2 linked regions of the Drosophila melanogaster genome follow. The protein of the gene in region 1 interacts with the protein of each later gene in a pairwise test. Each region holds a gene or a part of one and is shown on either strand. Other genes may lie near its edges. The genes, in order: GATAd and nod.

Evidence for each region.
Region 2: the proteins of GATAd (region 1) and nod interact in a two-hybrid assay, tested with the Drosophila melanogaster proteins (one large-scale study listed by BioGRID).

The regions. Positions count from the first base shown.
Region 1 is NT_033779.5:10,331,004-10,341,828, reverse strand, and holds GATAd (GATAd), read right to left. Parts: upstream 7,916-10,825; 5' UTR 7,755-7,915; coding exon 7,017-7,754; intron 6,049-7,016; coding exon 5,905-6,048; intron 5,808-5,904; coding exon 4,946-5,807; intron 4,885-4,945; coding exon 4,757-4,884; intron 4,689-4,756; coding exon 4,536-4,688; intron 4,462-4,535; coding exon 4,233-4,461; intron 3,811-4,232; coding exon 3,713-3,810; intron 3,598-3,712; coding exon 3,421-3,597; 3' UTR 2,644-3,420; downstream 1-2,643. Other genes in the region: CG31715 (uncharacterized protein), read right to left, coding at 1-7, 64-147; SamDC (S-adenosylmethionine decarboxylase), read right to left, coding at 448-603, 666-821, 870-962, 1,018-1,296, 1,350-1,518, 1,591-1,677, 2,211-2,314; Cox10 (cytochrome c oxidase assembly factor 10), read right to left, coding at 8,858-9,090, 9,155-9,841, 9,899-10,082, 10,148-10,219.
Region 2 is NC_004354.4:11,578,886-11,589,341, reverse strand, and holds nod (no distributive disjunction), read right to left. Parts: upstream 8,571-10,456; 5' UTR 8,419-8,570; coding exon 8,302-8,418; intron 8,238-8,301; coding exon 8,043-8,237; intron 7,973-8,042; coding exon 7,438-7,972; intron 7,386-7,437; exon of another isoform or gene 7,304-7,385; coding exon 7,158-7,303; exon of another isoform or gene 7,149-7,157; coding exon of another isoform or gene 6,869-7,148; intron 6,810-6,868; coding exon of another isoform or gene 5,182-6,809; exon of another isoform or gene 5,167-5,181; intron 5,037-5,166; coding exon 4,846-5,036; intron 4,783-4,845; coding exon 4,072-4,782; intron 3,994-4,071; coding exon 3,888-3,993; 3' UTR 3,592-3,887; downstream 1-3,591. Other genes in the region: pkm (pinkman), read left to right, coding at 5,182-6,809, 6,869-7,148. UniProt on the Drosophila melanogaster protein: Required for the distributive chromosome segregation of non-exchange chromosomes during meiosis. May be a microtubule motor required to hold distributively 'paired' chromosomes at the metaphase plate until anaphase.

The sequences.
Region 1 (10,825 bases):
TTTGTGCCTGTATACAAATAGAATTAATTAATTCCAAAATTATTTAGAGTATTAGCAGCGCACATCATTCTGAAAAGCGTCTTGCACAGCATCGAACTCTCCGTTCTTTATGGTCCAAATAATGTCTTCATTAGAAATCGCACTCATTTTTATTTTTCTTTTGGGCCGACTTGTCAAATACTGCTAGGGATGGAACTTTGCCTGTGACACTTGTTCAGATCCGATAATTATTTGCTACATTTGGAATTTGCGAATTATCCAGGGTGTTGGTATATTTTAGTATTTTATATTAACAGTCTATTTAAAAAGTAATTGTACGTTATTTAGTAGTAGTAGTATTTATTATTTTATTTATTCGACATTTATTTTGAATAATTAATAACGAACGAAAAATAAATTTTGTTAGACATACGCAAAACAATCACAATTGCTGTTGGCTTTGGAATTTTATAAATTATCACCAGTTTTCTCACTGTGGGAATATTGTGCAAACAGAAGATTGTAAGATGGAAAGTTGCAACATTGCATGTCGGTTCGTTTCCAGTGCGATCCCTGTGAGTACTCCACTTCCAGTTCCTTCATAGTTTCGTAGGCCAACGAGCACTGATCCACAATATTCGAAAATTATTTTAAATAATTATACAAAAAGTGGAGCAACAGCTTACCTTATTGGCAAAGATGGTTACAATAAACTTTCCCGGCTTGAAAGTATTGATTACTTGATTGATAAGTTTACGATAGTTACTTAGAGCCACATTTGTTTCGAAGCTCACATACGAAAATTGATTCTCCGGAGTAATATGAATTGTCATGTACTCCCCCTATAAAGAATTTATGTCAATAGTTCTTGTAAAATTTTTCTATGTTACCTTATCGTTGATTCCATTCATGGAGTAGCCGCAAGGATCGAACAAAAAGTCATCAATGTGCATAGTCGGCAATATGGTATCGATACCAGATTTCTGAAATCACAATCTATATGTATTGGTTTTAATCATTTAAAATATATCCTCATACCACAGTAGCGCCATTAGCATCATTAAACTTGTTTTTATAGAAGATTGACATGGTTTCGGGATCTAGATCTTGCATTAATATTTCAATAGTTTGATCTGGATCGGAGTCAACGTTTTTCTCATCCGATATAAGTTGGGGCGTAATTTTGATATCAGAACGACTAAAAGTGTAGAGGTACCAACACTCCAGGTTCATGGAGCCCAGACAATAGGATCTTCCGTTGGGAAAAATTGAGTCCAGATACGTAACTTCCTCCGTAAAGCCTTGATGGGGAGTTATCTGAATATATATGATATAAAATCATTTGAAATGCAATTAATTTTTTTGCCCACCTGCGCCTCCGGTCTAGTGAAATTTTTTCGCGAGTAGAACAAGTCTGCGACCACATTGTATCCATTGGCCTCAGCCAGCTTAAGCAACTGACCCAGGCATTTCAATGGAGTAGTCGTTCCACAAGTTTTAAGGATCCATCGTCGCTTTGAAACAAACATACTGCTCTCACTGCTCGCACCGAATACAAATTTAAAATAATTAATAATATTTTATTAAGTTTAGTTTTATATATTCGCATACCTTAACACAAAAGCATCAATAATGTCGTTTTTGGATGTGCTTATTATTTGACAGTTGACATTGCTAAGCACGTTTTCCCAATCAGATCTGAAAAATATCATTTACATTCATTAAAAGTTCAAGGCTATTTGAATAAACATGTACACAATGCCTCGACCAAAATTTATTTTGAGATAATGAGGATTGGATTAATGGGATTGATTAAAACTCGTTATCAAACAAGGCCAAGGGTTAAGACCGATTTTTGAAAGCTTAATTCTAAGTGAATTTACAAAGTTCTACAGGCTGCCAGTTTAAAAAGAAATTCCCTTTAATAACTAATTTCTTGAAATTTCAAATCAAATTTGTATATCTTGAGAATCATAAATAAAAACTTCAATTTAATTTGGGTAGGTACACGTGTGCCGCATCTGATAAGCCTAAAAACCAATGTGTAACCTATTCCAATGGGACTATGTTATGTTTAAAAGATAATTATCAGTGTAGAAATACATTTCATTTCTTTTCAGGACGAAAATGAACGGCGCATATGTACGTATACTTTTGCCCGCAACTGTGCATGCACTTGTGCACAAAGGACATGTCGGCTGTTTGGGTTCCGCACTTGTTGAGGGACTCACCTGCTGATGTTACGCAGATCATCGTCACCGTTGGAGCTCTCCTCAAACCAAATCTCAAGGAGTTTCTCAACGCCCTCGAAGAAGTGCGAACCGTTCTCCAACATGCTGCTGGCTGGCAATAACAAATGGATCTGATCTGATACCAAAACAACGCCTGGTGATGTAAAGTAAACGATGGGACTATCGATGCGAGTGCTTGTTGTACTACATCGATAATTCGGGAGTCTAACAGCATGTTTCCACTTACAGCATTTCTCATTGAACAGTCGGCGGTAAAAATGTAAGTCCCTTTCTATTCGAATTAAGATACTTAAATATCTTTAATATATATTTTTTCAAATTCTCATCATTAGTTTAACAGATTTTTCGGTTGCTTATCCCATACCCCAGGCAAATAGTTAAAAAAAAACAGTAGAATTTGGATTTTCATTTTACATTAACCAGTTTTATTGTGATTGTTAAAAATTGTATAGAGTATTTTATTTGAAAAAATAAATGAGTAATATTTTTTGTATCTTAGCCTATTATGAAGTCCTTATTTTATTTAGACAATTTATGTAGATTCGAAAACAGCATTAAGTTTTTTAGTTTCTTATAATTGTATATAATTTAAATATTTCCTTGAAAAGTTTGCATTGCGTGATTATTGCTTTTTGCATAGTTTTACTATTAAAATGTTTTGTGGAGATTATTATATTATCACATGATTTTCGTATAGGCAAGAGATTTAAAACATTATTATTTTTTAGCTTTAGAAGTTGTTCAATTGCAAAGACAGCTGAAAAATCATTGTTAAAACTGAACTTTTCATTTTAATAGAAGCGATTTGTGTTATTAAAAAATTAAAAATACTGTAAAATGGTTTTAATAAATATAAATATAATAAATTTTATTTTTAATTTAATTGCATTAAGTATTGATGTCCTCTCTTAAGGTCTATATTTAGTGTGATATTATTTAAAAGTTTTGACATACTGGTTCAATTTTCATACCTCTTTTACACTAATAAGTATTTTGGTATTAGTTTTTAAAGATACAAATGAATAAAATTTAGTTTTAAAGAATGAAAATTTTATTAATAATCTATACGTATTTTTAATCCTATACCATTTGTTTTTCTCTCTTACGCGACCTCATAAATAAACAAAATGTGGGTTAAAGGTTCTTCTTTTTTTTTCGAAAAGTGAGTAGGGGGAATATATTTGGCGTTTTATGTTAACTTTGCATTATTTTCACTGGAAACAAGGTTAAGCGGTGCGGATAGATCCGCACTTTCACAGGTATCATTAAACGCCGGCAAAGAATTTGACTTCTTACGCCTTGATAAAATATCTTTAAGTGCTGCTGCGGCTGGGGTCTCGGTATCATCAATTTCCTTTTTGAATTTCTAAAATAAAAACATATTAGAAAATTGAAGTTTAAGTGTATTTAAATCTTATGCAAATAGATCTAGTTGATCAATCTACTTATCAAGACTTTAAAGTAATAGTGCAGATACATACATTTAAAACAAGGCCCGAAATGGCTAGAGATTCCCTAGCCGTCAAGAAATCTTGCTTCGTTGTTTCTATTGAAGAACATGATGACATTTGTTTGTGTTCTGCAAAAGAAAGTGTATATTTATAATTTTCGCAAATAAATCATACAATTAATAATGAAAGGCTCGTAGATATTTATTCAAACTTGAGCAGTTTAACGACTTAACAGGCACGTCCAATGCCATCTACAACAATGACATCATAAAATATGATTGGACAAGCAAGAAAATATTTTGGGTGGGTACGCGGTTAATATTCCGATTGCTAAATCAATAGCTTAATGAACATATTAACAGAAAAATAAATTGTTTTGGCAAGTTACATTTAATTACCAACAATAAAATGGTCAGGGAACATAAAAAAAAAACATTAAGTAAACAAATTGTTTTCATTGTTAGATACTCAAAAAATAAATAAATCTATGGGTCACAGAGGGCTAGCTTTCGAATCGAAAAATGTAGATAAATTTCGAACTCTCACTCACTCTTTTTAGATCGCTCCAATTCTTTAGGACGCCTGCGTCTGGTGTGTATGGTATCGCGTCTCATTGAATGCGGCCTGTTGACCCCATGCAGCTTGAAGTACAATCCGCAGGCGTTGCACACCATCTCTCCTCGAACACTTCGCCGCCAAATTGTTGTGGTGAGGGTGCCACAATTCGAACATGACATATCTTTTTGAGCACCAGGTATGGCATTAAAAAGGTTTATGTTCTACGAAATCGGAATTGAACCAAGAAATAATATAATTAGTATGTGATTCAATGAGGATGACTGTGATAACGTACCCTTTTATCTTTCTTATCATCCGGAGTTGCTTCTGAAGTGGTATAAGTATCAGTCACATTCTCATTAACTACATCGATGCAATCAGTTTTGGTAGGAAAACTTTGTTTTCTTCTACATGGTTTTGATTTGCTGGATTGAGCCTCTGATAGATCCTAAGAACACAAAGAGTATTAGACTTTCCTATAGCTACTTGCTACTTGAAATAGAAGAAATAGTTTACCTTTAATAGTGCTATGGGTTCTTCAGGTACTTTTGTAAATGATACTGTCGACGGAACCGGAAACGCGAAAGGCTGGCTCATCATATTTCGAAATATTTGTGATGCCGGATTGTCCTCCTTGCTTTTAGCTATCAAATTGAAATGTTTTTCATAATAATATGCGGTCAGTGGTCGGATAATAATACGTACCGGCTGATCTGGCCAGTGCCTGCCAGAGTTGAGTAGTTGCCGCATCTGTGGCGTGATCCGAGCTTAAGCTATCCGGAGTCTTTCTATCATTTATGGAGGACGTGATGTCCATCTCTAGTTTGTGAGAGTCGGAACTATCGCCAGAGTCTAGCAAGGAGCCGGTACTCGCCTTGGGTGCTTTTGATTTGAAGTCGGACCCACCAACTTGGTTAATGGTAATACTGTAGTTTTGAAAATCCTCTTCACTTCTTAAGTGTGACTGAATATCAAGCATTGGAGTTTGGCAAAAATGGTGTATTGGGGCCGCGTTCCGTTGATTAGAGTAATCGTTCTTTTGTTTTTTGACGGATAGGTCAATTTCAACACCGTCCTGAATTTCATTTTGGTTTGATGGACGTTTTGATTTTATCACAGAACTTTTAATACTTGTATCTACAGCTGCAGAAAAACACGGAGATTGCGGATTCGAACATGGAGGGGAAATTACTATTTTTTTGCTTATATCCATTAAAACGGCAGCCGTTTCAAGCTGCTGCTGCAGATTTTCATATTTCTCGATATCCGAGTCCTTTTGCAGTTTTGAATCAAACTGGCTGTGTGAGGATCCAGACATTGCTTTGCTCTTTTGATCGCTTTTCATAGTAATTGATTTGAATAAACTTGGATATAAGCTATGTGCTGGCATTTCTTGATTGCTAATCTCGATTTTCCGATCCAAGCCGGGTTGGATGCTGGAATCCAATTTACTGTGGTCGTACTTAACTTTAGAGAACGTGCTTAACTCCGTCAGAGCCTTTGCCGCTATAGCCTCCGATGAAGCCTTTAAAATTGCATCGAGCTTGGTTTCCAAATCATTTGGGTCCTGCAAAAAACATAGTTCGTGAGTAGTAATTCAAATGGTCATTTAATTTAATGGCGTATGACTAACTAAGTTCCTTCCAATCAATACTTATACTTACTGGTCTCAGATTTTTGGATATATTTAAAAATTCTTTCAAAGCTATTTGTGAATTGTGCGCCATGGTTCGAAATTTTTCGAAGGAATCCAATTTTTGTCTGCAGTCGCCACAAACCACGTTGGGTAATCCATCGTTGGGCAGTGCCTGAAAGAAATATGAATGTATCTTATACTGCAGTATCCACTTTTAATATTCAGTTGGCTAGCAATGAGAATGATGCAATGACTAAGGAGCAAGGCGGTAACAAAATCGATCGATGGGATTGATGACTGGTTATACTTGGAACTAAAAGAAGAACATTGGATGCTTTGATATTGTATAAATCAAGCTAAAACTATTTGTATTTTAATCAATTTTATCATTATACATGTATTAAAACTTTAGTATACAATTTATATCTCTGTAAATCTCATGAAACAAATTATTTTAATTGAAAAAAATTAAAAACAACCCTATAAAATGATAAAAAAAAAAAAAAATAACATATGTTCATCTACGGAAATAAACACTAAAGCTCATGAAATGCATTAAGAGCACAAATTATCAAATCAATAAATAAATAAATACATAATAACAAATGAAAGTACTCGAAGTATGTAAAAAAAACACATTGGGGCCATATAAGGTGTATGTACGTCGGTATATCCGCACTTAAACAATCGAAACGAATGTTATCTCTTTGGTGGATTAATGTATGTAGGTCTCTAACATACATCCATGCGTGCATATACACACACGTATGTACATAGCAATATTTACATTCGTGCGCTGGACACTGATGTACGAGTGTGGCGTGGTGTGCGTGGGCCTGGGCCAATGCCTTGCAATGGTTCATCGAAAAAATACCAAACAATTGATACCGATTGTTAATAGGCCATGGGATAAAAGCGGCCCAATCATTTCCTATTATTTTGACGTGTGGTGTCGTAATCACATAGATAACACACACCAGCGCACGGCAAGCACTCGCAAAAGTGCGCGTGTGTGCGGGCATTATCGTGTACATATACGCGATATATCCAACTCACACACAGGTAAGAGCATGCTTGTGTATGTGCGTAATTAATGTAAATTCGTTTCTTTGCAAATGTGTTGGATGGAAATCTGCTTACCTTAATAGAGAGACAGTTGAATATCTGAAATGTAAGATGTGGTGATGATGAATCATCCCGACCGTGCTCTTTGCCGTAGTTATCGGTTCCGCTTATATTTGTTGTATTCACACTTGTCTCTTCGCGTCCGCTCTGCTGATTATGATTATGCTGATGTTCCTCCTCCTCGCGCATTGGCTCCGATTTTGTTTGGGATTGGGATAGCGATGCGGAGGGGGATGGCGTCTCCCCGCTATATTCTATATGTTCGTGATCCGACGATGACTGACTTTTGAATACTGTTGATCTCTCGGCGATGTCCGACTCCAATTGGCATTGGCGTTCGCGCTCACTCGACTTTGCGTCCGCAGCAGAAGGCACACTTGGCGTGTAATGGATTTTAGTTTGGTTTTGGTGATGGTGAAGGGTTTGCGATTGGATCTGCTGGCTTGGAACGGGCACAGGCACGGAAACGGGTATGGGTATGGGCACGGGTACGGGTGTTCCCTGGTTGCGCCGTTCATTTTTGTTGGCTGATAGCGGGTTATCAACGATGCAACTGCACGGATTGGGGCTTAAAGCGCTGCAAAAGCAGTTGGCACGATTCGCGACGCCACGAAAATCGGCCGATATTCTGTCTGGGGCACTATTATTATGCGACGAATTATCGTAAATCTGTAGTACTGCAACATCGCACTCGTTAACCAATGTGAGGCACAATCGACAAACTTGACGAAACTTATGTGGTACATTATTCATAATTAGAAATTTATATTCGTTTTGCACTGTGTAAAGAAACTTTCATACGCCTCTCCTTTATCGCGATAAAAAAGATAACTGGTAAAATAAATTATAAAATGAATGTAAACACTATTCCTCAATTTTTCATTGTCACAATCCACGTTCAGCTCACTAAAAATAATTCACTCCAGTGGTTCGCCACAGATTTTTCGCTCATTTGATCTAGTTTCCCGTTCAAATTACCAAACGAGGGCTCCAGCGATAGTCGCGTTAGCTGCATGATTCATCTCGGCATCGCGATAAATCAGTGATTATGCTAATGTGCTTCTGTGATAAAACATCAAGGCTATTGCAACACAATACAAAATATTGTTCTTTTCATTTGTAAGACCAACGCATACAGCAGAGGAACCAGTGAAATATACTGAAATAGGGGCAACTTTTTGGTATTTCTGTTATCGATAACGTACAGCTATACTCATTTTTAGCTAGAAATTTTTGACTATTTATCTGACGGATTTTACTATTATTATTAAAATTATTTCAATTGCGGAATATAGTTCCTAAAATAGCTAGAATACTTATCCCTAGGAAATGCGCATGTCGTTTTTTAATCTTGGAAAAAAAACCCTCCAAAGGAATAAACTCTGGAATCTGAAGAAGAGATGCCTTACAATGCCTTAAATAATACGTTCGATTCGATTGCTACAATTTATCAAAATAAAATAGATTTAAATTCCTTATTTTCAACAACCGATGAAACAACGGGAAACGGGATTACTTCCACTAACAATTTTTACCGTTTCCGTGCTTTTTTTGAAACAAGTGCTCAAAGAACAATATAATAAGGTCATACTTAGAATCTTGCAATTTAAATTACTGTACGGCTTAAGATTCCATGCCAAATTGTATATTTTAAATTTATTTGTATTCAGCGCCGGATTGGTTACACCGCATATTTTTCAAGGATGTCGTGTCATTTATTAGGCGCAACATATATTTGCCGCACAGGGGTACGTGTTTCCTTAATATTAAATGACTGTTTTTACAAGTTGCAGAACACTAAGTATATTTAAATTTCACACGATACTTAACATTTTATCAAATTAATGTTAATATTTCTATCTGGGTCCTTCGGCTACGGCGACGGGCAGGACATTACCAAGACTGCTAGCAGAATGCTTTATCGCACTGTACGTGGACTCCTTTTTGTTCTCCTCACCGGCGGGTTTGCTGAAATACCATTCCTTCTTATTGGTCAGAAATAGCAGCATCAGGGCGGGCAGGTGTATCAGTGAAAATCGGAACAGCTTCCGCGAGCTCCCACTATCTGACTTTTCATGAAACTTGTACGCTGCAAGCAAACAGAACGTATTAGACATAACATATAGGATTCCATGGTTAATGAGTATATTTACCAAGGTAGGCGAAGTACGCGTTCAGAGGTAGTGTTTCCAAGGCAAACCAGTAGTTCGTGACGTCCAGTACGGGTGCCATGGCTGAAAGTCCGACAATAGCCACCGAATATCGCAGCGCAGTGCGGCGACAAAGACCCGGATTGGTAACGGCCATCATTCGGTAGCCGGCACGTGAATAATCCGGCCGGAGGTTCCACGACAGAGCGTTGAAGTGCGGGAACTGCCACGCGTACAGCACTCCGGCTAGGATCATGGCGCCGGCGTCCAGGGTGGCTGCACAACCAGCCCATCCCATCAGCGGAGGAATGGCGCCCACTATCGATCCCACCCAGGTATTGACTATGCTGATACGCTTCATCGGTGTGTATATCGTGGTGTAGAGGAACAGGTTACCCGCTCCCAGCGCCGCCGTCAATCCATTTACTCCGAAATACAGCATACTTAAGCCGGCAGTTGCCGACACCGCGGCGAAGGTAACTGCATGCAGTGGTGTCATTTGCCCCGTGACGAGCACCCGGTTCTTTGTCCTCGACATCTGCGAATCGAAAGGAACTTCGTGATACTGATTAATGGCATTCGCCGCAGCCGAAACGAGTCCTGTGCCCAGGGTGCACATCGCAAACGTTGTGGGATCGAAAGCAGCTGGCGCCATGGCATAGCCGCCCATCGTTGTAATGACCACCAGCGCTGCAACGAAAGACAACTATGGTCGATGCTTGGCCAATGTTTAACCATCTCGCTTACATGTCAGCCGGAACTTGGATAGCTTCTTGTACTGGCTAAGAGTTTTTCCGGGCATGGTGTACGGACTAGGCATCCAGGTAATTTGACTATCGGGTAAATGCTGGACCTTTCCCGCCTGGGATACTGGCGACGCTGTAGTGACACCTTTGTCATCTTGGGAAGCTATCGTTGCTGCAGTGGAGTACTGAAAATTATTGGAAAGTTATAGTTTGTTATAGTGGTTTGTTGCGTAATGGCCAAGAACCTCACCCGAATGAGCACCAAATCAACCGGCGTTCTTAGCTGGGATTGCACCCGCCGAATTCCTTTGAATAATATCATTATTATTCACTTATTAGTTAGGTCTACGGTTATTTCATTTTTCTAGTTGTGTTTGGATTTCTATTACTTTTATATACAATGTTATGGTTTTTTAAATCACATTGTGCTTAAGTGTTACCATATCTCAAAATGAGAAAAATACTGAGTGCAAAAAATTTAATCAGAGGTATTCATAAATTGTTGGGATTGGGATTTTTTAAGAACTTTGAAAAAAACATAGCAAAAAGTTTTAAGCCTATTCCTTAAATAATAATAATATAAGTTTACATTAAAAGAAAATTTTGTGCCATGGTAAAACTCAGAGACATTTTCAGTTTCGATTTTTAAGTTGTTTTCTCAGTTTTTGCATATAAAAAAATAATAAATAATTAATAAATTTTTTGTTCCTTAGTAAATTAAATTATTTGTAATAATATTTAGTATTGTTAACAACACTATATACCAAGATTTGCGCATGCGTCAAACGTGTAATTTGCTTTATATGTGTGGGAGTAATTTTTACATCTGAATGCAGGAAGGCCGAAGTCCTTGTAAGTCTTCATTGATTCAATAATTAACATTTTAAACAAACGGAATACATTTTAGTTGTTAACAGTCGAAACAATC
Region 2 (10,456 bases), on another chromosome or scaffold:
GCACAAGTGGCCCTCTACCCAGAATTTGTGAATAAAAATAATCAAATCCCGCATGCAACCCAATCTGGCAACGCTGAAAGGGAGTTAAATTTGAAAAAAAAAGTTAATGAATATTATTTATTTGGTCACTTTTAATAAGTCATTTATTTGAAAGTTTTTCTTTTTTGACTAGTTTTTTTTGTTTAATACTTTTATAACAATCAATTTGTGCTTTAATTTAAAATGCCAACTTGTTTTGTTAATTTAATATATTATATAATATATCCTAGGTAAGCCTATTTAAAAAATAAATCACATATATAACTGTTTCTTTAAGGATATCCGGCTCCTTTTTTTTTACTCCTACTATAGTTGTAAAATCAAAGTATATGCCACATAAATAACAATCACTATACTATATTCGAATTAAAATGCTATTTAATTAGTAATTGTATCAAGTGTCAAGACAGTTAATTTGAGAAAATCGTTTCCATTTATTTCCCGACCAAATGGGCAGGGATTTGACTTCAATTAGATTCTTGAAGCAACCCAGGCGGGATCTGAAAAATGTGGATTAAGGATTAAGGGTTATTGGGTAAAACGCAAATGAACGTATGTCAACTGACCTGTGCACGGCCAAAATAGAGGCGGTCTTTGAACCGATCCCTGGAATCTCCTGCAATTGCTTAACGTTTCCATTGTTAAGATGGCCCAGTAAACATTTAGTATTATTGGCCATCCAGGCCTTGGGCGCAGGTTTCACTTTTCGCGTGCGTTTCTTTTGGACTGCACTTTGAAGGCGCGTCCCGTTTTCCACAACAACGGAGGTGGCATGTTCCCGGATTCCCGCCAGCCGCGTGCTGCGCCGCAAATTCATAACCTTGGGAATGGCTCTATAGTTCTGCGAACGCATCCTACCCGCTAGACGTACGGAACGACGAAGGCATGGCTGCTGTGGCGAAGCCACTACTGTCTCCTCCATTAGCTGGATGCCGCTAAGTTCTCGCTGAGAACTGGATGCCCGCAGACTGATTTTTTTTCTTTAAAAAATATATTCTATAGCTTGATATTATTTTGGTTGTTATATCATGGCTAGATTAATGAATCAACGCTCGGGAAACCCAAACAGAGTATTTTGATGTTTGAAGCGAGGGAAATCGGATAAGATTTCCAGCCAAAAGAGAGTAGGAATGTGTATGGAATGCCGATTTCCAGCGCCTTGTGTTTGGATTGGATTGGCAGCTTATCTCGTATGCTAATCGTATGATCATACATACCTATATACATATATATATATGAATCTGCCCAAATCAACCAGAAGAGAGTGCTAACTAAACTAGAATCGAAGCGGCCGAAACTGATGGATTCGTAGATAGAATCCCCCTGTTGAGTGAGTGCGAAGAGTGAAGATCGCCGCCATAGCGGATCGATGCTCAGATGATTCATCGAACTCAACTTTCACCGAGGGTGAGAAGAAGACGGCAACAGGGCAGACCACCACAAGCACAAGCAACTTCATTCACACGCACGTATGATTGTGTAGGTGTGAGTGCCGCGAAGTGCCGGCTGAGTGTTTGTTTTTCGCCAATTTCCCATGCATTAATATGGTACATGAATTAACCACTATGTGCTCTCCAAAATGACTTGAAAACTACTAGAAATTTATTATTCCCTTACCTAAATCCTACATTTCCTGTATTCTATCCGATAATAATGTGGCATATTCCGTCCGAAATCGTGGGATAGAGCCCATTCTCGACGTCCCGCTGCTGATGCAATTGCCGTTGCTGGGTGGGCGTTTGGCTCTGCTGGCGATTCACTGTTTTCACGGTCATTTTTACGGCCACTTCTTGTTTCGCTTTTCGATGGAATGCGACTGTTTGAATATCGAATTCGGAGAGCGGAAGTGCCGTTACCGTTAGCCAAAAAGTGAAATTACGGTGCTCATTGGCCGCGGTTTGATTTGATTTGCGATAAGATTAAGAGCGGGCCATAAAGCGCGTAGCACCTAAAAACAGCGGAGCGAACTAAAAAAAAAATAACAACACCAACCGTCTTCTCGCACCAAAGAAACCAAACTGCGCGACTGTACAGTGTGACCAGCTGCCGGAGCAGCACAAGTGGCCCTCTACCCAGAATTTGTGAATAAAAATAATCAAATCCCGCATGCAACCCAATCTGGCAACGCTGAAAGGGAGTTAAATTTGAAAAAAAAAGTTAATGAATATTATTTATTTGGTCACTTTTAATAAGTCATTTATTTGAAAGTTTTTCTTTTTTGACTAGTTTTTTTTGTTTAATACTTTTATAACAATCAATTTGTGCTTTAATTTAAAATGCCAACTTGTTTTGTTAATTTAATATATTATATAATATATCCTAGGTAAGCCTATTTAAAAAATAAATCACATATATAACTGTTTCTTTAAGGATATCCGGCTCCTTTTTTTTTACTCCTACTATAGTTGTAAAATCAAAGTATATGCCACATAAATAACAATCACTATACTATATTCGAATTAAAATGCTATTTAATTAGTAATTGTATCAAGTGTCAAGACAGTTAATTTGAGAAAATCGTTTCCATTTATTTCCCGACCAAATGGGCAGGGATTTGACTTCAATTAGATTCTTGAAGCAACCCAGGCGGGATCTGAAAAATGTGGATTAAGGATTAAGGGTTATTGGGTAAAACGCAAATGAACGTATGTCAACTGACCTGTGCACGGCCAAAATAGAGGCGGTCTTTGAACCGATCCCTGGAATCTCCTGCAATTGCTTAACGTTTCCATTGTTAAGATGGCCCAGTAAACATTTAGTATTATTGGCCATCCAGGCCTTGGGCGCAGGTTTCACTTTTCGCGTGCGTTTCTTTTGGACTGCACTTTGAAGGCGCGTCCCGTTTTCCACAACAACGGAGGTGGCATGTTCCCGGATTCCCGCCAGCCGCGTGCTGCGCCGCAAATTCATAACCTTGGGAATGGCTCTATAGTTCTGCGAACGCATCCTACCCGCTAGACGTACGGAACGACGAAGGCATGGCTGCTGTGGCGAAGCCACTACTGTCTCCTCCATTAGCTGGATGCCGCTAAGTTCTCGCTGAGAACTGGATGCCCGCAGACTGATTTTTTTTCTTTAAAAAATATATTCTATAGCTTGATATTATTTTGGTTGTTATATCATGGCTAGATTAATGAATCAACGCTCGGGAAACCCAAACAGAGTATTTTGATGTTTGAAGCGAAGGGAAATCGGATAAGATTTCCAGCCAAAAGAGAGTAGGAATGTGTATGGAATGCCGATTTCCAGCGCCATGTGTTTGGATTGGATTGGCAGCTTATCTCGTATGCTAATCGTATGATCATACATACCTATATACATATATATATCAAATATGTATGTATGTATATACCAAATCAACCAGGAGAGAGTGCTAACTAAACTGGAATCGAAGCGGCCGAAACTGATGGATTCGTAGATAGAATCCCCCTGTTGAGTGAGTGCGAAGAGTGAAGATCGACGACTTCAATAATCAATGTATATATATATGTATATTGTCTAAAAATTATATGCCAAGAATAAAAAGTGTCAAAGTGTAAAAGTCCTATTATTATTGTTATTGACCTAAAAGTTATTTTACTTTAAATCAAAAAATGCAATTAAATATTAGATTACATAGCGCTTATTTAATAGGTAGTCTAAGCTATCATCAAATAAATTATAGTCGAAAACAAAAAATAAGTAAACATCTTGAGAAATATTACACATACACATATATAACTGTTTGTTTTAGGATATCCGGCTCCTTTTTTTACTCCTACTATAGTTGTAAAATCAAAGTATATGCCACATAAATAACAATCACTATACTATATTCGAATTAAAATGCTATTTAATTAGTAATTGTATCAAGTGTCGAGACAGTTAATTTGACAAAATCGTTCCCATTTATTTCCCGACCAAATGGGCAGGGATTTGACTTGAAAAAGATTCTCGAAGCAACCCAGGCGGGATCTGAAAAATGTGGATTACGGATTAAGGGTTATTGGGTAAAACGCAAATAAAGGTATGCCAACTATGTAAGTAACTTACCTGTGCAAGGCCAAACTAAAGGCGGACTTTGGACCGATCCCTGGAATCTCCTGCAATTGCTTAACGTTTCCATTGTTAAGCAGGTCCAGAAAACATTTTGTATTATTGGCCATCCAGGCCTTGGGCGCAGGTTTCACGTTTCGCGTACGTTTTTTTTGCACTGTACTTCGAAGGTGCGGTATCGCATCCGTCTCGTTTTTCACAACAACGGAGGTGGCATGTTCCCGGATTCCCGCCAGCCGCGTGCTGCGCCGCAAATTCATAACCTTGGGAATGGCTCCATAGTTCTGCGAACGCATGCTACTCGCTAGACGCACGGAACGACGAAGGCATGGCTGCTGTGGCGAAGCCACTACTGTCTCCTCCATTGGCTGGATGCCGCTAAGTTCTCGCTGAGAGCTGGATGCCCGTAGACTGATGGGACTGATGGTGGTGTTGAACAGCTGGCAGCGTACAGTTGTGGGCACCGTGGGGGCAACCATTGACTGTTGCACCTTTGACGATTCCTTGGGCTCGGTCTCTTCGACAATGCCCATTAGCGTAGAGTTCTGGCTGCTGGCTTGCCTTGGCTCTTGCCCTGTTGGGGGAGGCATTAAATGCCTATCCTTATCGCTATCGCTATGGAAACCCAACAGACTCAGACTGCTGTCCTGAATGTGTATAGACGAGAGCTCCAGCGTGGTCTCCTCCAGCTCCAATAGCTCGCGAGCCCTATGGAGGAAGATATGGGAGGATTAGATCATCTTCGCTTTTGGTCCATTCCGTGTTACTCACCTTTTCTTAGCTTTGGGCGTCATGCCAAGTTCGGAGCGAGTTCGATGGAGCACGGCGCTCAGCGGCTTGGTTGTGCTATATTTGGATTTTGGAACCACTATGCTATTATGATTGGCTGCGTTTGACTTGATGGCCGTCGAGGTGCATAGCGCTTGGCGGAAGACGTGTGTTGTCCGTGCGGCCAGCGATTGCTGCAATCAGAGCAAGATGGGTGGATGAAACTCGAGTAACTGCATCGTTCGATTTGCGGTCAGTGCGGTTGGAATGAGTTCGGTTCGGTACGGCTTGGTTTCTCTATATAAACGATCCACACTCGCGGCGGTGGCGTAGTGTGCCATGGAACAGCCCAGTGAGAAGACGCAGGAGGGGGAGCAGAAAGATCGCCAAAGTCAGGAAGTGATAGAAGTGGCATCCGATCAAGGAAATTCACCAGACTCAACAGAAAGTTATCCAGATGTCGATCAGAAGTCACCTAAACGAATTGATGTTGAGGAACCAAAGGAGGAGAACTCAAATAACAGCGAAGCAGTGCAGGATTTAGAAGATAATCGTGTGAAAAAGGAGGAATTGGTGGCAGAGTTGGAGGAACCGAGAGGTGCTGAGGTGGAGCACATTGAAAAACAACTAGCCAAAGAGATTGATTCGAAAGTGATCGACAAACAAGAGCTCAAAGGCATAGAGGAGCTTGATAAAAAAATTCCCCAGTTGAATCAAACATTTGGAGATCAGTTGTTGGAAGGAGATGATGAGCCTGAGGCGAAATCAAAGGATGAGCTGGCAGAGAATGCGGACAGGGAAAAACTAGCAGAAATCTCTGCGAGTGAGATTCAGCTCACTGGCAACCTAGCAGCTCCAGCAGAGCAAGTTGATCAGAAGGAAGCCGAACCAGATCCACATGAAGACACCGAAGATGAACGAAATGGGGAGGTGAATAGAGAGCACCCAGACAGGATGGAGAGTCCTGTAGAGCAACAAGAGGACACAGCCAAGCCAGACGAAGATCTGCCCAACGAGCAGGTTACACAGTTCCTTCGCCAACTGGTCAGCCAGCTGTGGCCAGAGCTGGGCGCCAATCCGGAACTGCGTCTGGAAAGGGCGAGTGCCAAGGGCGACAACTATTTGGGCGTGGTGTGGCGCCTACAGGCGGCATCCGATTCGAAACGCAGCCTGGTGGTTAAACTGCCGCCACAGAATCGCGTGCGCCGCAAGCAATTCTTTGCACGACCATGTTTCCTGCGCGAGACGGCAGCATATGAGGTCTTTCTGCCGCTGACTGCGTTAATTCAGGATAAGTGGAAGATAATCGGAGATGATCGTTTCCGGCAGCACGCGCTCTGTTTCGGAACTCGCCAGGATGAGCCCAACGAGTGCATCGTGCTGGAGGATCTGTCTTGTGCCGGCTTCTCACTGCACAATCGCTTTCTCGACCTATCCGTCGAGCATGTGCGTCGCGTAATGCTCACCTATGCCAAATTACATGCTATATCATTGGCCGGGAAACGGCAGTTGCCCGAGAAAATGCAACAACTGCAGCAGCTGGTGGATATCTTTGAGCAGCGACGCGATGATCATGCCTTGGGGGTCTACTTCGAGAATCTGAAGGAAAGCGCCCTATCCGCACTGCTCGCACCGGCGGATGATGCATACAGAGTTCGTCTGGAGGCGTACTTCGCCAGAGGATCGTACTTTGAGCTGCTGCTGCCTTTGGTCAGCGGATTCAATTGCGAACCCTTCGCTGTTATTTGCCACGGCGATTGCTGGAATAACAACATTCTCTACAAGAGTACAGAGCGGGGCGAGCTCGAGGACGTGCGCCTGATCGACTGGCAACTGATGCGATATGCCTCGCCGGTCACCGATCTAGCTTACTTCCTCTTCACTTGCACTTCGCGGCGATTCCGGCAGCGACACCTCGAAAATATGCTCGAGGATTACTATGAAGAGTTGGGCCTGCAGCTGATTAGGTAAGTAAAAGTATAAGAATCCTAGAGCTTCAACTATTGTATTGTTGTGTTCGCAACAGACTAGGCGAGCGGGTGGAGCAACTTTTTCCCCGTCCTGCATTCGATGAACAGGTGGCTACCAAAGCGGCTGTGGGCCTGCTTCTCGCCATGATGGTTCTACCCATTGTAACGATGCAGGGTCAGGATGTGCCCGACCTTCAGGCAATTAGCGAGCGCATCGAGGCGGGGGCCACTACGGATCTCCATGGAGCTGGTTTCCTGGGCGCGGGCAACGAGGCTACATTTAAACAGCGTATACGCGAGGTGATCCTCGACTGTGTGGACTTTAATTACATATAGATGGCTCACCTTCTGGCGCGCCACTTGCATCGGATTCAGCCGAAGCTTCTTGGCACTGGTGCCAAAACGCAGGGTGGACAACGTCTCGCTGAGATCGCATTGATGCGGACTGATGCAGGCCAGAAAGGTCAGATACGACTGCGCGGTTAGCGAGGCTGCAAAGAATGAAAACGGCAAGAAGTTGCAGTCAATATTTATAGTAGTCACTAAGTCGCTAATCAATAAAGGCTTGAACCCAAATGGTCCACTAACTAATTGAGCATGAGACGATCCAAAACGTAGCACTTACCCTGCAGAACTGTGGTAAGGACGCTGTCGCGGTATGGTATCACTGTGTGGCCCGCCGCCATGGACATCACCACCTTGTTGATGCTCAACAGGCCCAGATTGATGTTGACGCCCTCCTGCCTGGCCACGCCCTCGTGCCCAGTTCGCCGCACGCCTTCTGAACCGGCCAGATCCACAATATTCATCCGCGAGTGATGGGTTTTACTCTTCACGTGAATGGTGACTATGGCATGGGATCGCGAACTATTGGAATTCATATTGGTGGGACGAACGCGTCGATTGCGAGTGCCTAGCTCCAAGATGTGATGCAGATCCGCCTGGCTGTGCAAAGGAAGGCAGGTGCATCGCTGGCAACGCGCCGCCACCATGGGCATATGTGGCGTGGAGCCCAGCAGATCGAAGGGTTTCTCATTGTAGATCTCTATGAAGGAGGCGTACACCTGAATCGCATCCTTGTTGTTCTCCTGCCGGGCGGTCACGCGCTCAAAAATGTCGCCCAGGGCGCGAGGCAGAATACCCAGGTGCTCGGGCAGTATCTGTAAAGGAATAGAAGCGATAGATCAGTGGGAAAGATTTAAGCCACTGATGGCTAAACGAAAAACCCACCTCTCCCGGAGGTGTCATGCCCATTGAGTAGCTCTTGCCCGTTCCCGTCTGGCCGTAGGCGAGTGCAGTGCACTGGAATCCCTCGAGCAGCTTGTCCACCAGCGGCAAGATCAGCGCCTGGTACATCTCATCCTGGCTGATGGTCGCGGGAAAGGCGTGATCGAAGTGGAATTCATTCTGATCCACTATTAACGACTACAAAGCGAGATGGCGGTCATATACCGTTAGACATGCACATGGCCAATGGTGGGGCACATACCTTTCCGTCGCTCCATGGCGGAAACTGGACGACGCTGGGCTCCCGACGCCCCAAGAACTGGCGGTACGGCGCCTCGCGGACCGCAATCCGAACTGCGCTTAATTTGGCGCCCTCCATGCAGATTGAAGAATTGAAGTTGTTTGAATAATGCACAATTGGCTTGCATTCACCGTAATTATTTTACTTTTTTGACGAAGCCAAGCGACCTTTGCATTTCAAATTGATTTTGGCAGTGTGACCGTCGCGGTAATAACACTAAGAACGATCTGGGTTGGTGTCATGGATATTTACATTGTGGCTTGTGACCTCGCTTTTGGTATGTGTATGTTGTAGGGGCCATCTCTAATTTAACTTAATCTTGCTAAAATACTGCACACAACTTAACATGTTTTGCAAACATATCGTGCACAATGGCATCGCTATTGTTCATGAGCATAACATTACAGAACTCTGTTAATGCGCCACCCTTGCCAGCCCTGGCCTGCGCTGCCACCCTATATGATTATAGACACACATAGCAAGTGCGGAGGATCGGTATTGCCAACTTATTAAAACAGGAACAAGAACTAACAAATTTGATGGAAAAAAAGCCGCTTAAAACAGTATTTGCAATAGCAGATAAGTCTTTATTTGTCATATGTAATTTAAGTGTCAGTTCTGGTCACCCTGGAAACCAAGGTGGCAGCCCTAAAAGCATCTCGAATTTCCGTTACTTTTAGCGCCAACAAAATGGCGGAAATGTATTTGCAGTTAATTAGTATTGCCATCTCTCTCTAAGCCAGCACCGTTCGCCTTCTCTTTCTTTTCAAGACTCGTATACGAGAGAGATCGCCTCTCTATTGTCATCTCGCTCTAAATCGATCTGTATTATTTGGCAATTGTTAAGTTTCGTATAACATTTCACTAGTTATATGAAATTTACCAATTTATTTTGTATTTTGACTGGTTAAGGCGCGTAAAACGTTACCCATATATGCATATATATTTGCTTAATTTGCAACATTTTACACGTCTTTTAAGACTTCAGTTTGCATTGCGACTTGTACAATGTTGCGTTCCAAGACACATTTTTTTGTCTTGTATTGTATTGTATTGCATATTGTATATTGTATATTGTATATCATTCATTTTGTTTTGTAGCTTGACAAGCGCGTCAACCATGAAAACAATTCGTTTGTGATTTCCAAATAGTCGTACTCATCTCACTGTCCGTAAGACAATTCAACTTAAACATTTTCGACTATGCGGAAATCGTTACTCTTGCTTGATTTTGCTTCGGAGAACGTTTCGAACGATTATCAATGTGATTCGAAACGATCTCTAAAGCTATATGTAACACCAATTTACCCTTTCGATGGCCATCCGAGCTACCTAAACGAAAGAGAAGAGGATGGAATTAGGATTGTCATAGGCGCAACGTGTCGGAAAATCTAATTCAATGGATGCTACACTGGTTGGATTTGGATTTATGTTTTATTTTTTTGGAGAGGATCTCGGAAGTAACGTACTCACTTGCAGCTAGTTGGAGACTGAATGGAAAAGCGAGGGAAAATTGAGCGGGTGTTATTAATAGGTCACCACCATTTTGCTGCCAGAATTCGAGTTCAAGTGTGTATACGTTGCACTGCGCGGAGTACTCACCAGCTCGATGGGAACTGTACCAAGTGGATGGATTCTAAACACCCCGAACTTCTTTTTTGTGTTAAATTTATGCGAGTGCAAGGCAATCGGAGAAAAACAAGAGCAAAATGCCAATTGAATGAGTAATCAGTGTGTATGTATACCAGAAAATAATGAACTCAACTGCAAACGTGTCTTTTCAGTGTCTTTTGGATCAAAGGAAGTGAAGTTTTCAATTTAGAAATAATAGCAACCAAACTAATACCTCTAACTAAAGCTCTTTTTGTTTCGCTTACCTAAACGCTCGACTTATGATATAAAAAGTAGCCCTAGCTTAGTGTGACCAGGCCGCGAATGCCGCAACATCTAGCTGCTCTAGCCCTTGATATTTTCGAGTTTTGGCCACACTAATGACTGCGAAAATACCGAATAAAATATAGTGGGAACTGCATGAATGCGAAAATAGCGGGATTCCAATACCGAATAAAATATAATGGGAACTGCATGAATCCGAAAATAGCGGGATTCCAAATTC